2 linked regions of the Diceros bicornis minor genome follow. The protein of the gene in region 1 binds, or shares a complex with, the protein of each later gene. Links are inferred from orthologs where the notes say so. Each region holds a gene or a part of one and is shown on either strand. Other genes may lie near its edges.

Evidence for each region. The genes of interacting proteins can lie anywhere in the genome.
Region 2: bromodomain-containing protein 8 (region 1) and ANP32E share a complex: the UniProt entries of both Homo sapiens proteins name them as parts of the SWR1-like complex. The link is inferred for Diceros bicornis minor from reciprocal best matches to the Homo sapiens genes BRD8 and ANP32E.

What each region holds. Positions count from the first base shown.
Region 1 is NC_080740.1:56,788,905-56,796,516, reverse strand, and holds the start of bromodomain-containing protein 8, read left to right. Parts: upstream 1-4,515; 5' UTR 4,516-4,820; coding exon 4,821-4,839; intron 4,840-6,065; coding exon 6,066-6,162; intron 6,163-7,612. Other genes in the region: kinesin-like protein KIF20A, read right to left, coding at 1-6, 188-317, 404-591, 708-846, 1,439-1,558, 1,661-1,750, 3,569-3,733. UniProt on the Homo sapiens protein: May act as a coactivator during transcriptional activation by hormone-activated nuclear receptors (NR). Isoform 2 stimulates transcriptional activation by AR/DHTR, ESR1/NR3A1, RXRA/NR2B1 and THRB/ERBA2.
Region 2 is NC_080743.1:54,715,659-54,723,004, forward strand, and holds the start of ANP32E (acidic leucine-rich nuclear phosphoprotein 32 family member E), read right to left. Parts: upstream 3,032-7,346; 5' UTR 2,731-3,031; coding exon 2,677-2,730; intron 1-2,676. UniProt on the Homo sapiens protein: Histone chaperone that specifically mediates the genome-wide removal of histone H2A.Z/H2AZ1 from the nucleosome: removes H2A.Z/H2AZ1 from its normal sites of deposition, especially from enhancer and insulator regions.

The DNA.
Region 1 (7,612 bases):
TCGTTTCTAGGGAAGAAGCCAATGTATAGGGCATCAACCCTAGGGTAGTCCATCTCCCTTTTGGCCTACAGGGTCTTCTGAAGGTGGAACTCAGGTTGCAACCTCTGGTCTGTACCCCTCGCAGCTGTTGGGAGCAGGGAGTGGGTTCCTAGTGTTACTTGGCACAGACCCCAGTTATGGTACATACCATCCAGCTGGCTACTGCTGGTAAACTGACTGGTGGAGGAGAGCCCAGCAATACCACTGTCAAAGCTGGTGCTGGTACCCATCCGACTTTCAATGTAGACACTCTTCTTCAAGGAGGTGGACAGCTCCTCCTGGAGGGGCCCAGGGAGAAGATAAGTACAAAACTTTCCAGAGATTTGTCCCTCTATCCCCATCTCTATGAACACCAACGCTTCACCTCTTGGAGGCCTCCATTTAGCAGGGTCAGTTTCTTCATTTCTTCCTGCTGGATCTGTTTGCTGTCTAGCCAGATTACCTCATTGGAGAGCACGGGCTTCAGATCAGGGGTTGGATGAAGCTGGCCTTGGAGGCTTTTGAAGATCAGAGCCAGGGACCGGGGCAGGATCCCTCCATCCTTGACGGTACCTGGAGGTATGTGAATGACAGATAGCTGAGGCAAGTGCTGTTCCCCAACTCAGAGCATCAAAAGGCAAAGACAACACCATTACAGGCCAGTCAGGAATCCTATGAGGCCTACTAACCTTGAATTGTGTGGGTTTTCCCTGAGTTGGTGACTCCATATGTATAGATGAGCCAATTCTGCCCTTTGAGTACGTCCTTTACCATCTCCTTCACGGTCAGGTTGAAGAAGGATGCCTGTCCCACTTCTGGCCCAAAGATCTAGAGACAGACCCAGTTTCTCAGAGGCCCATTCTTCATCTCCCACTTGCCTCCTGTGCAGAGCCAGCAGATACATCCCTTTTTGGGTGGCTGGCTCTGGAGACTACTCAAGCAGCTTCTTCCTGCAGTGCTGCCAGCTGCTCCCTAAACACTGCAGACTCAACCACTCTCTGCCAGTCCATCTTTCATCCAAATCAACAAATACTTAAGGAATGCTGTCCACTAAGTCCGATGCTGCACACACAATGGGACAACATAATGGTCACAAGTGTGGACTCTGGAGATGGATGGATCTAGATTCAAGTCCTAACTCTACCAATGACTAGCTACATGGCTTCAGCAACATTACCTTCATTGAGCCACAGTATCCTTGTCAGGAAAAATAGTGACAATAATAATAATAATAATAATGAGTTGTTGGGAATTAATTCATATAAAGTACTTGACACATTGACTAGCACACAAGGGTCCCCAAAATTGTAGACATGCATATATAAGGAACTCGTAGTGAAGTAAAAAGCTTTCCCGCTAAAGAGGGAATGAAGTACCCCCTACACGTTGGTCCCTTGTTCACAGACCAGTACCTCCGTACCTGGGAAAAGGTGAATCTGTGGGTTGCTTGTCCAATTCCCCGCTCATTGCTCTTCTGGGCAAAGGAGTCCTTGGGTGCCTGTAGAACAAGGGTCTCCACATTCTCAATATGGACACAACCCTGAGAAGGGGGAAAACACAGTTGTCACAGAAGGAAACGTTCCTGGGAACCTCTTCTGTACTGCATCATTCTACCTTGAATCCTCCCTCCTCAGAAACTCACCTGATCCTCCTGTCGTTCCAACTCTGAAGGTAACAAGGGCCTGACCCTCAGGTATACTTTCACCTTCTCTGTACTATCCTCAGATGGAACCTGTGGCAGAATTCCAGGCCGGAACTACATATTAATCTCAGCAGTTATTTAAGATTGGCAAACATAACACAGTTCCTGGTAATCACGCTAACATTCTACCTCAGATGTTTCTGTGCAGCTACTCTTTGGTTCCATAATCATTCCAACACACATGGACTTTTCCACTACTTTATCACCCTTCCCTGTCTCTTCAGTATCCTGAAAACCTGGCTTAACACACTGATTATCTGAGTTAGAACTGTTGACCGGTATGAAAATCAGCCTGTGATATTAAGGCAAAGCACAGTAGTTAGGCACCTTGGAGGCAGACACACCTGAATTTGAGTCCCAATTCCATCATTTAGTAATTTTGAGACCTTGAAAAAGTTATTTAGGGCCGGCCCCATGGCTTAGTGGTTAAGTGCACGTACTCCACTACTGGTGGCTGGGGTTCAGACCCCGGGCGCGCACTGACGCACCGCTTCTCCAGCCATGCTGAGGCCGCGTCCCACATACAGCAACTAGAAGGATGTGCAACTATGACATACAACTATCTACTGGGGCTTTGGGGGTAAAAAAAAAAAAGTTCTTGAAATTTCTTTGCCTCAGTTTCCTCATCTATAGAATGGGGTTATAATAGCACCCACCTCATTCATTCAACAGATATTTAGAGAGCTGCCTACTATGGCCCAGGGACTATGGTAGTCCGCAGTGAGGGACATTATCAAGGTTCCTGCTTTCATGAAACTTTCTCTATAAAAGAGGAGACTTCTAAGTGGAGCTGTTCTCAACCAGGGCCATTTCCCTCCCAAGGGAACTTTAGTAATGTCAGGAGAGTAGTCTTGGTTGTCACAAGTGGGAAGGAGCTACTGACATCTAGTGAGTAGAGGCCAGGAATGCTGCTAAACATCTTACAACGCACAGTACACCCCTGTATATCAAAGAATTATCTGGCCCCAAATGTTAATAATGCTGCAGCTGAGAAACCCAGCTTAGCAGAAAGAAAGGCTCCATAAATGGAAGCAATGGCTGATTTTAAAACCTGAATGTACATTCCACCTACTTGATGGCTGTATGACCCTATGCAAATTATTTAACACCTCTGGGCCTCATGGTGAAGGAGAGAGAACTATTAGCCTTTCCTCATAGGATTACCTGAGAGTATGCACTGAGGGTGTTTCATTAATGCAATGCAAATAATACTTCTCATGGACACACAACTCTACATTTTTTACTTGTCATCTCTTAATTTTGAATTGATCTCTCAGACCCTCAGGATTGCTGGTTTTTGACTTCATACTACTCTGTATGGACAACTAGTAGGCTGAGGATATCACTTTCTGCCCCCAAACTACTGAAGGGGAACAGAATATGCCACCCCAAAATGTGCCACTCTGGCAAGTGGATTATTGTGAGCTGAAAGCAATTATGATCCAGCAGACTCAAGAAAAACTTTACCTCTCCCTTAACTGTCTAAAAGATTTTACAGAGGGGGCCTGGCCCAGAAAGAGAGCTATTACCAGAGATAACTTTTTATCTGAAAGACTTATCTACATGGCAGGGCAAACATTTGATTACCAAACATCTGCTCTTATTATCTTCCTGTGAATTGCCCTCCTCCCCTTTGAAACCCCAGGTCCCTATCCCATTCCTTAGCTCAGGATGGCATCTAAGCCTCAGTTGCCTGACTGCCTGTATGTACAAAATTAAATTTGTTTTTCTCCAGTTAATCTGTCTTACGTCAGTTTAATTATTAGAACAGCCGAAGAACCTAGAAGGGTAGAAGGAAAATTTTTTCTGCCTGGGTACCCCAAGCCATTCTCCAACCAACTCCTTTACCTGCTGCTTGTCTTCCAGGGAGGTGGAGATGACAGAGCAGTCTGACAGGAGGTCCTTGCGTACCACAGACCCCAAATCCGCAGCTGTGGACTCAAACATGGGGGAGACTACGACCTCCTCATCTGATAGCAAGCCGGCTGGCGGAGAAAGGATCCCTTGCGACATGACAGCAGGGGCAGCTTAGGTCTAAAAAGAGACAAGGGTGGGTAGGGAGGAGAACCTTAGGGGACAGAGGGGCTGCAAATTCTAGGTAAGAAAAAAAAATTCCCTTGCCCCAGGACACCTTGGTCTCGCTGCCTGAATTCCCACTCCCTTTTCCCTTCAACTACCAGCAGAGGGGAAGGGGATGGGAGGAGTTAATCATTTAATCCAGCCTGAGGCAGCATTTCCGACCTCGAACAGGAATGAACAGATATCTGGCTCCAAAAGCAGAAGGCCACGATCCAAGCAGGGTGCCTTGCCCACCGGTGTTGTGGAGGTAGTGTCAGTAGGCTAGGTTCCTTCTCCAACCTCGGCCGGAGGCCCACAGTGAGGACAGAGGTATTAAGAAAACAAGGGATGGCAGCAGCACCGCTTTCTGAAAGCCTATTCCGCGAGGGCAAGAGCTGGTACTCCAGCTGGGCTCCAGCACAGCCCCACACTCACCTGAAGACGCGACACTTGGTCCTTCTCCGGTCACTCACACTCTGCCACCGAACCTTGATTTTCGCCGCCGAACCTGGACTTTCGCTGCCAGAGAGCACAACTCCGCCCACGAGGCACACCTTTTGTTACTGATACAATGTTTTAAATTACGCGCTGCGTTCGTTCGGCCAATCAGATAGCGAAGCTTGCAGCTACCAATCAGCGCAAGGAAAGGGGGCGGGCGAGGCTGGGAGACCGTTTGCTCGGGGCTTTGACTTCTCCGCTCTAATGTGGGTCCGGGTTACCAACTGTCGGAGTTTGGAGTTGGGTCGGCTGAAATCCTGCCCGCTTAACACTTTTTCTTGAACCCTAGGTATTTCTTTTCTAAGAAGCCTAAAGGAAATCCTGAGGCTTCAGCCGCCATCCTTTGTTCTTCTTTAGCACATTCCTTCCCAGGTGCGCACAAAGAGACCTGGTTTAGGGTGCTTTTTCGTCGCGCGTTGGGGTGTGGGACTCCATTTCCCAGGAGGCACCGCGAACAAACTCCCGGACTCTGCTTCCCAGAGTTCCCCGGGTTTCGGCCCTGCTAGGCTGTCTCGCCTCCGGGGTTGGAGACATCGGGGCCAAGATGGCTACAGGAACGGGCAGTAAGTATCTGGGCTGCTTTTGCGTGGAAGGCGTTTGTAGAGCGGAGGCCAGGCGCCAGATTTTCTGCCACACGCTTAGGGAGTAGGAGCAATGATTTGCCTGAGAGCCCAGGGTCTTCAGAGACCTTTGCTCGACGGTGTCGTGAAGGCCAACGGTTAGGGGCCTAGCCGTGTTGAATCTTGTGTCTCAGGGAGGCCGCGGAGATTTGAGAGAAGCAGCTCAGTGAATCCTTGTGTGTTTGGGAGCTCTGTGGGGTGAGAGATAAAGGTGCTCTAGAGACTCGGACACGCGGGTGGAGAAACGCTGTGGGCCATACGGAGTGGCCGGCATTCATTTTCTGACTAACGTTTGTGAGGCCCGGTATTTTAACCGAGAGCTTTTTGTGCCATTGGGGAAATTGGGTTTCATGCATCTCAGCCATTTTCGTGTGTTTCATGGATCGAAGAGGTCTTTTAAGCCCGACAGCTAAAGGGAAGTGGAATTACTGAGAGAAGTAAACAAGTTTTTGCGAAGGAGGCGGGGCAGTGGGGGCGGGGTAGGGGGGGTGGCGCTCGGAGTCGTGGGAAATAAGCCCTTGCGTTCAAACTGGAATAACGTATTCTTAAAACTGGGCGTTTTGGGAGAAGTGCCTTAAATATAAGGCGGTTCTCCCAAACTGAAGGGAAACTGACATTCCCCCCACGTTTTTTTTTTTGAGTAAAGCAGAGTAGACATGGCATTCGAAGAAATAAAATCTTTTGCCAGATAGAGTACAATTCGCATGCAGTCAATAGGGACCGCCTCAGTGGTTGCATTTTACTAGGAAGATGAAAATCAAGATTTGGTGATAGCTCTCTTTGTCCTTAAAAGTTGGTTGTATTGTTTTGTATTAGGCGTCTAGTCCTACCTTTGGGGCTTTTTTTTTTTTTTTTTTTTTTTTTGGTGGGGATGCTCAGTCCTGAGCTAACATCCGGTGCCAGTCCTCCTCTTTTTTTTTTTTCTTGCTGAGGAAGATTGGCCCTGGGCTAACGTCTGTGCCCATCTTCCTCTACTTTATATGAGACTCCGCCACAGCATGGCTTGACAGGTGGTGGGTTGATGTGCACCCGGGATCTGAACCTGGGAACCCTCAGGCTGCCAAAGCAGAGTGTGCACGCTTAACTGCTGTGCCACTGGGCTGGCCACTTGCCTTTGGGGCTTAGAACCACTGTCTTAGTGGTTGTCTCTAAGCCTTCTCTCATTTCAGAACACAAGCTGCTGAGTACTGGCCCCACAGAGCCGTGGTCTATCCGAGAGAAGCTGTGTTTAGCGTCTTCTGTCATGAGGAGTGGAGATCAAAATTGGTAAGGTATCTAGGATGTCTCCTTTCATGGGTCTTAGAAACTGTTGGGTATTTTTTTACACTGATGGATTCCATACTAACCTTTGAGAAGTATTTCTTTTTTAACAGCTTTATTAATTCACATACCATAAAATTAAGCCAGTATAATCACAGAATTTAGTGTATTCACAGAGTTGTGCAACCGTCATCACAGTCTAATTTTGGAACATTTTCATTACCCCTAAAAGAAACCTCTTACCCCTTAGCAGTCACTCTGCAATCTCCTCTACACCTCCCTAACATCCATCCCCCCACCCCTAGGCAACCCACTCATCTACTTTCTGTCTCTCTAGGTTGCCTATTTTGGACATTTCATGTAAATAGAATCATAATTTGTGGCCTTCTATGACTGGCTTCTTTGACTTAGTGTAATGTTTTTCGAGGTTCATCCAAATGGTAGCATGTATCAGTATTTTATTTCTTTTTATGACTAAAATAATCCACTGTATGGGTATGCCACATTTTGTTTATCCACTCATCAGTTAATGAACATTTGGGTTGTTTCCACTTGTTTTGACTATTATAATTAATGCTGCTATGAACATTCGTATATGAGGTTTTGTGCAGATGTATGTTTTCAATTCTTTTGAAAGAGTGGAATTGCTGGGACGAATGGTAACTCTATGTTTAACTTTTTTAAGGAACTGCCAAACTATTTGTAAAGGGGCCCCACTGGTTTACATTCCCACCAGCAGTAAATGAGGGCCCCAATTTCTCTGTGTGCTCCGCAACACTTATTGTCTGTCTTTTTGGTTATAGCCATACTAGTGAGTGCGAAATGGTATCTCATTGTGGTTTTGCTTTGCATATTCCTGATGACTAATGTTGAGCATCTTTTCATATGCTTATTGGCCATTTGTATATCTTCTTTGGAGAAATGTCTGCTCAGATCTTTTGGTTTATTTATCTTTTTATTATTGAGTTTTAAGAATTCTTTCTATATTTTGGACAGAAATCCCTTGTCAGATAGATGATTTGCAAATATTTCTCTTATTTTGTGTGTTGTCTTTTCACTTTCTTGATTGGTATTTTTTACAGCACAAAAGTTTTTAATTTTGATATGTCCAATTTATCTATTTTTTCTTTTGTTGCTTGTGCTTTTGGTGTCATAGTTAAGAAACCATTTACTTCTATATTTTCTTTTAAGAGCTTTATAGTTTTATCTCTACACATTTAGGTCTTTGATCCATTTTGAGTTAATTTTTGTGTATGTTGTAAGGCAGGGGTCTCTTTTGCATTTAGATACCCAGCTGTCTCAGTACCCAGTATTTGTTGAATTGTCTAGGCACTCAATATTTCTTTTTTTTTTGTGTGAGGAACATCAGCCCTGAGCTAACATGCATGCCAATCCTCCTCTTTTTGCTGAGGAAGACTAGCCCTGATCTAACATCCATGCCCATCTTCCTCCGCTT
Region 2 (7,346 bases), on another chromosome or scaffold:
CTTGGACTAAGAAGTTCAATGCCTGCTTCAAATCACTGTCACATAAAAAATAAAACTTTGAAAAAGGTCCCATGTGAAACTTGTTTCTGACCATGATAAGAAGGATTCTCAACATCAGGGCATATATTTATGCACTGAGGGGATACCCAGGCTACTGGGAAAGGATTCAAGCGAGCTGCCCAAAACAGCAGGGAGACGAAAGGAAATTGTTTTATTCACTTTTTCAATTTAAACGCCCTTATCTTTGGTTGATAAATGCCACCATAACTCAAAAATACCTTGTTATCCTTCAGGAAGAAATGTTAGAAAGCTCCTTCTGAGACAGTCCAGCTTTCGAATGTTATTTGTTCTAATATTGAGGCCAAACAATATCACCCAGAACAATACATCCTTGACAAAATGTTATTTCTCCCTGCCACTCTGGTAGCATTTTGGTGACTTCTCCCCATTCTTGGGAAGGGGGAGATGGATCCTCTGTTAGGTCAGAGTTGTAGAACCAAAGTTTCTGGCGTGGGCCTAAATGGACTTAATCTTAAGGAGGAGACAGGAGACTCTGGCTCTCCTTTCCCAATGCAAAAATATTTTTGAGGTATTCTGAGGGCTAAAAATTAGCATCAAGGGATGCCACCTTCTCTATTTGAATATGACTTGGACATAATTATTTCAGTAAGCAGAGAAGGCATCATGCTCTCCTGTTTAGAGATGAGGCAGCAAAGGCCCAGAGGGTAAGGATGACTTGCCTAGGACCGCATACTTATTATGTGGCACAGCCGTGCCTCCACTCCAAGTCTTCTGACTCCTACTTGAGCTGAATGGAGGAGAGAGGGCCACTAGATTTGGTGTCAGAAAACCAGTTCTTCCTAAATAACTTCATTGCCCTGAGACTCCGTTTGCTAATTTGGATTCTAGAACAATACAATACAATCCACCTCACAAGTCTGTCCGAAAGACAAAAGTAAATAACAAACAAGAAAAGTGCTTTGTAAACTGTAAAGAGCTATATAGATATGAGAGACCGTTATTACACCACAGGAGAGGAAGGAGAGGCTGCAAAAAGGCAACATCCGGCACTCCCCAAAACTGGCAAGGAAATTACTACGGATAGGGTAGGTAAAAGAATGGGGGAAGGCGGGGGAGACACAAATCCGCTTTTCCAACCCAAAACATAAAAAAGCATTCTAAATGTGTGCTCCTGAGAGGCAGCTTTTTAAGTTTGATTTGTTTTTTTCCTGAAGCCCCTAAAGAGAAGGCCGTAGAAAACTTCAAGTTCTCTCTGGGATGACAGCAGCGGCTGTTTCCTCCTCCCTGCCCCCTGCCAATTTCAGGAAAACAGACTTTTTTTGAAAAGTACATAAAGATCTTGGGTTCCCAGTTTGCACGCCGCCGCAGCCCACCGGACAGACCCCACTCGTCCCCAATGCTGGTATGCACAGGCACCACCTCCACCCTTGTTGAAAAAAACTTATATCTCTGTCATTCCAATTCTAAGGTTTATTTCAGAGGCCGCAATTAATTAGTAAGACTCTTGACGCTTTCCTCTGCTTCCAGAAGTGCAAGGTTCCTTGCTGGCCGTGGGCCCCGCTCTCTCGACCTTACGCTCCGACCAACGGGAAACCCCACGCGGGGCGGAGACTCCCCAGGGAAAAAGGGGTCGCCTCCCAGCCCGTGTTCCCTTAGCGCCCCCACCCGGGGCGGGGATGGCTGGGGGAAGCTGAGGAGGCGCCCTCGAAAAGGAGGCGGAAACGCCTTCTGCCCGACCCCTGAAAAGTTGACCGCGACCCCGCCTCACGTGGCCCCTCCCAACCCCGTCTCTTTAACTAAGGCGACAGCAGCGAGAGCGCATCATTTCGTTTCGCCGAACCCATCTTTAAAGCGCAGAACTACTACGACCCATTTGTTGAGTTTTGTGAAACCGTCTCCCGGGACCAAATTCGGAGTTGCAGCCACCACGACACGACACGCCGAATTTCATTATACCGCGGGGGACGAAGGGGATTGCGCCTCGCGTCCCCTCCCCACCTCTGGTCACTGCGACGAGTCCCAAAACTTCCCCACGGCCGGAGAACCGGCCGCTGACCCAGATTCCGCCTGGCGGCGGTCGGCGCGCGCCGCTTCCCGGGGGAGTGGGCGCAGCCGGCAGCGGGCGGTCCGCGGACTCCGCGAGCGACCCCAGCCCGCGCCGGGCGCGACGTCGTCGGACGCCCAAGGGCCTCGAGGCCGGGGGCACCCCCCCGCCTAAATAAAAGAGTTGGCAGCACTGCAGAAAAGTTGGACTAACTTCTCAGGCAACGATGGCTGCGGCAGGGGCAAGCGGGACTGGGGGGTCGCGCCCACGCCGCCGGCCCCCAGGAGGAGGAACATGGGGGGCGCAGCGGCGGAGCGGGCCCCAACACCCCGCTTCCCGCCCCCACGAGGCCAGGACGCCTGACTCGAAGAGAGGCGAAAAGGGCTAAGCCCCCATGCACACACAAAACGCCCCTAGAAACTTAAACCCTTCGCCATTTTAAGTAAAAGATTTTAATGATTTAAAACTTGAAATTAAATATTTCCCCCCAACCCTAACCCCAAGTGAGTCTTAATTCATTACCCCTCCCCACACACCCACCGGGACCCCCAGAAACCCGATCCTCCCAATACGGGGCTAGTGGAGAAGGGGAGGGGGCTGAGTCATCTCACCTCCTCCGGGGCTCGGTTCCTTAACTCCAGGTTAATCCTCTTCTTCATCTCCATGTCCTCCTCCTGCTCTTCTGCTACTACTCTCCTCCTTTACCCTTTCCTGCCTTTCCCACTACCCCCAACCCTAAAATTTTAAAAGATTTGGAAATGAATGAAAAGAAACGCAAATATAAACGCCCACCACCACCAGATAGGTGTGGGGGAGAAAAAAGAGAATATCAAATGGAGTCCAAGGAGTTGGGACTCTTAACTCAGCTGCCCCCACCTCCTTGTCCACACACTCGCGCGCGCACTCACACGCGCGCGCGCATACACACACACACACACACACACACACACACACCGCAGTTCCTTCCCCTTCAATGGCTGCTCAGAGACTGAGCCTCCATGACACGGCACCGCCAACCCCCTGGCCTACACTCCACCCACCTCCCGAATGTATTGGTTAATGCTCCAGCATCACACTCTTCCATTGGACTGCATAAAAGTCTATCCGTCCTCAGGGCGGACCTGAACCAGAAACACTGTGTCTATTGGCTACGACCAAGCGCGCAGTTAACTCCGATAGGTCCAGGAGGGTGTTCGTCCCGGGGAAATGATTTTGAATCCCAGTAGCCCCCCTCTTTTCTTTGTGTGGTTGGCGCGCTTTCCCTAGGCGCAGGGAAGGTTTTGATGCCTGTTGGATTTGTTGGTTGGGTTTTTTTCTCGTTTTAGTGTTAACGGGAGGGAGAAAGCATCCTTCTTGCGTGGCCAGGTTGCGTGACTGATAATTCAGCACAGGGCATGTACTGGCTCTTAGCCATTTTAAAGCACAGCTCCTGCTTTGCAGCCAAGGTGCACAGCAACGTGCACATCACACAAAAAGCATGCCTTCGTGGCTCTGCCCTGCCGGGGACAGGCTGCTGGTGCAGAACCAAGCTGGTATAAAGATGTGTGTTAACTTCCGTCATGAAGGACTGAACGATTTTGAAAGCAGTTGGGTGAAGTATATAGGTTAGGCACCTTTAAATAAAACTACCCTGGAGGAATTGTTACTGAGATAATTGTTGCTTTAATAAACACTAAAACCTTGGAGGAAAAACAGTGCTAGCCTAATGAAAATCAAACATCAATTCGCACAGAAATGGTACTGCAATGCCTCTCCTTTCTAATTTCCCTTTGGTGGTTTCCATGGAAATCTGTAGGTAAAACGTGCTTTTAAAAGTCTGTCAATGTGAGAGAGAAAAGAGCGGGATAAGAATAATTTTTTAAGTTATGTCTTGAAAGTCTAACTTTTCTTAGTTCTTGCTTAAATTCTGTCCTTTTCATTCCCTTATCCCATTCTCAGGATAAATACCCAAAGAAATTCCAAATGATTTGGGGAAGGAAGTGGGTGAATTAGTCCAGCCCCTCTCAGAGCTGAGTGTTTATTTGATATTTTTCCAGTTTCTCAGGTTAGAGACCTTAGGGTTTCCGGAACAGACTCCTCACCACTCCAGCACCACCCCCTCCTACCCCGCTACAGAGACACACAGCTCCTCAAATAGGCTTACATTTAAAATGTAAATCTTTGGTATTTAGCATGTTAAATACTTTAAAAGAAAACAAAATAGTGATTGTCTTCCCCTTGCCAAGTGTTTCCTTTGAATTCTCAAAGAGGAAAGTTTGTGAAGATGAAAACAAAGAGAGAGATTTTGGTATAAAATTAAATCTCTGGAGGGCAATTTGGAGTTAGTTAAGTTTGTTTGTTGTTTATTTGCTTTAATACAGACTAAAGAAACCCAGGATGATATGAAAACTGAACCAAAATGGATTGAGGAACGGTTCAAGGAAGAGTTAAAAAACAAAGGAAGGAAAAAACTGGCTAAAAAGAAACCTGAAAGCACATTTTAGTTCCAGCTTGGGAAGAAGTCCTGTGTTCTGATCCCACCAGCCACTGCAGGGTCTGGAATCTGGAATGGAATCCCAGAGAAAGTTCAAGGAAGGGGATTCAGATTTAGGAGTCAGGCACATACAAGTGATAGTTAAGGCCATGAGAAAAAAATAAGATGTCCACAGAGAATATGTATAATAAGAAGACTATCAGGCAGAAGAGATCAAAATATGGTTGAGGGGAAAGAGAGGAGAGAGGGATTCTCTACCAAAGTAATCAAAGAAACTGAGGAGCAGGTAGAAAAGAAGGAGGTAAATTCGGAAAAAATGTAGGGAAGCCAAAGAGCTTCAAAGAAGAGATGATTATTGGGATTAAATAGTAGGGCTTTTGTATTGGAACACATTAGACAGAATGGGAGAGTATGCTGGAAAGAATGAAGGTGAGAAAAGGCCATGAATTCATTTTACCGTTGGATAGTAGCTTCAGAAAGTACACCATAGGGCCGGCCCCATGGCTTAGCGGTTAAGTGCGCGATCCACTGCTGGTGGCCCGGGTTCGGATCCCGGGCGCGCACTGACACACCGCTTCTCCTGCCATGCTGGGGCCACGTCCCACATACAGCAGTTAGAAGGATGTGCAGCTATGACATACAACTATCTACTGGGGCTTTGGGGGTAAAAAATAAATAAAATCTTTAAAAAAAGAAAAAAAAAGAAAGTACACCATAGTAAGCTTAGACAGGGATCCACCAAAATGGGCCTTCTCCCCATAACCATTGTCCCCACCCTCATATCATCTCTCATCTGTATTATCTCAGTACCTTGAAACTTACCTCTTTCCAGTCTTAATCAAGAAACCAGGATAAATAAAATGCTGGGGGAGGAAAGATTTCCCCATAGGGTTGGTGCACAGAAAGAAAGGTGCCTGAGAAGAGGCTGGATGAAGAACATTACCAGGCTTGTAGATGGGTGTATGGAGCTAAATGAAGGCTGAAAAAATGAAATATAGTCAGGAGAAAAGCCCAACTCATGAACTTAGAACATGTTTGAAGCTGAAGTAATGAGGCAGGGTTTAAATGGTAGAATGAAGAGTGAGGTTAAGTAATTAGGAGGTGGATGAAAGCAAAGGAGCAAGGAGTGGAATGAATGAGAGGGTGGTTCAGAACACTGCTTTAATCCACCAAAAAGAAGCATGCATCAGGATATTATTTAACTCAACAGGTCCTTTTTTTGTGTGTGTGTGAGGAAGATCAGCCCTGAGCTAACATCCATGCTAATCCTCCTCTTTTTGCTGAGGAAGACTGGCCCTGAGCTAACATCTATTGCCAATCCTCCTCCTTTTTTTACCTTTTTCTCCCCAAGGGCCCAGTAGATAGTTGTATGTCATAGTTGCACATCCTTCTAGTTGCTGTATGTGGGAGGCCGCCTCAGCATGGCCAGACAAGCAGTGCGTGGGTGCACGCCTGGGATCCAAACCCGGCCGCCAGTAGCGGAGCGCGGGCACTTAACCACTAAGCCACCGGCCGGCCCCTCAACATGTCCTTAACGTTCAAAAACTAAACTCATCTTGTGCTGCTGAACATCTTCTGTTGCCCCTCCAGATCCACTCTTCACCCTTCTCCATCCACCCTGCTCTGTGACTCAAAACCCAGAGTCCTATGACTTGCTGGGTTTGGTACATGGGGGAGAGGCATTGGCAGGAGATCGGAAGTCTGGAGGATGGTGAGGTGGGAGCATTTATTCCCCAACTTCCTCAGTGCCAGGTGGTTACAAAAGGACCCAGTCCCTCTACTGAAAGCCACAGATCCTGTCAGGGCTGTGGTGAACACTGTGATGCATCTCCCAGAAATTTCTTCAGGAATGAAGGACTTATTCCCCCTAGTACTGGGAGTACTGCTGGAAGATGACCTTCAGCTGTAGGGGATTGCCTTGAAGGGGATTACCTCGGCTGAAGAAAATTGCCTTGCCCAGGGTTATATATACCCTCTTCTAGGGGCAGCCCACATCCAATGAGTGATCACCGCAGAGATATAAAGGCCCAGCCAGCCCTTTTGCCCAACTTAGACAAACTCTGAAGGGTCATTGATCCCAGCTCCAGAGCACCCGCCGCGGGTTGGCTGAGGCCTTTGTTAGGACTACATTGCCATTCAATTTCTCCCACTGCTTAATCCTGCTTCCTTCTCCACCCTTCCACAGATATTGCTCCCAATATCATTCCCCAATATATGTCCTGACTGCTGTTTTCATCTCAGAGTCTACTTCCTGGGGAACCCAACATATGACACTGGCCCTCTCCAAATACCTACCCTCTGAGGAAGCCCAAACTAACCTATAGGAAAAATCATGTGGAGAAGCCTCAAGCCTAGATGAAGAGAGTGAGAGGTACCCACCCAGCCCCCGGCTTCTCCAGCCCCCAACTTTTCCAGCTCCAGCCACTGTCTGATTGCAACCACATAGGAAATCCTGAGCCAGAACCACCCAGCTGAGCTCTTCCCCAATTCCTGTCCCACAGAAACCGTGAGAGATAATAAAATGATCATTATTTTAAGCCTCTAAATTGGGAGTTGTTATGCAGCAATAGTAACTGGAACATCTCCCTAGTAAACATTTTTCTGCTCAAGTCTCACTAGCGCCCTTTTGTTCTATACAGGTGATAGTCATTCTGCTCTTTTTAGTTTTGTTTATGCTGTTCTTCTACCTTAACCAAAATGATTTTACCTCCTCTGAATTCTTAGGACTTATTAAATGTTCTATTTATTCAGCATTTACCCTATGCTGTCTTGCAACATCTCATATACGTTATTTAATTCTGGTTCGTG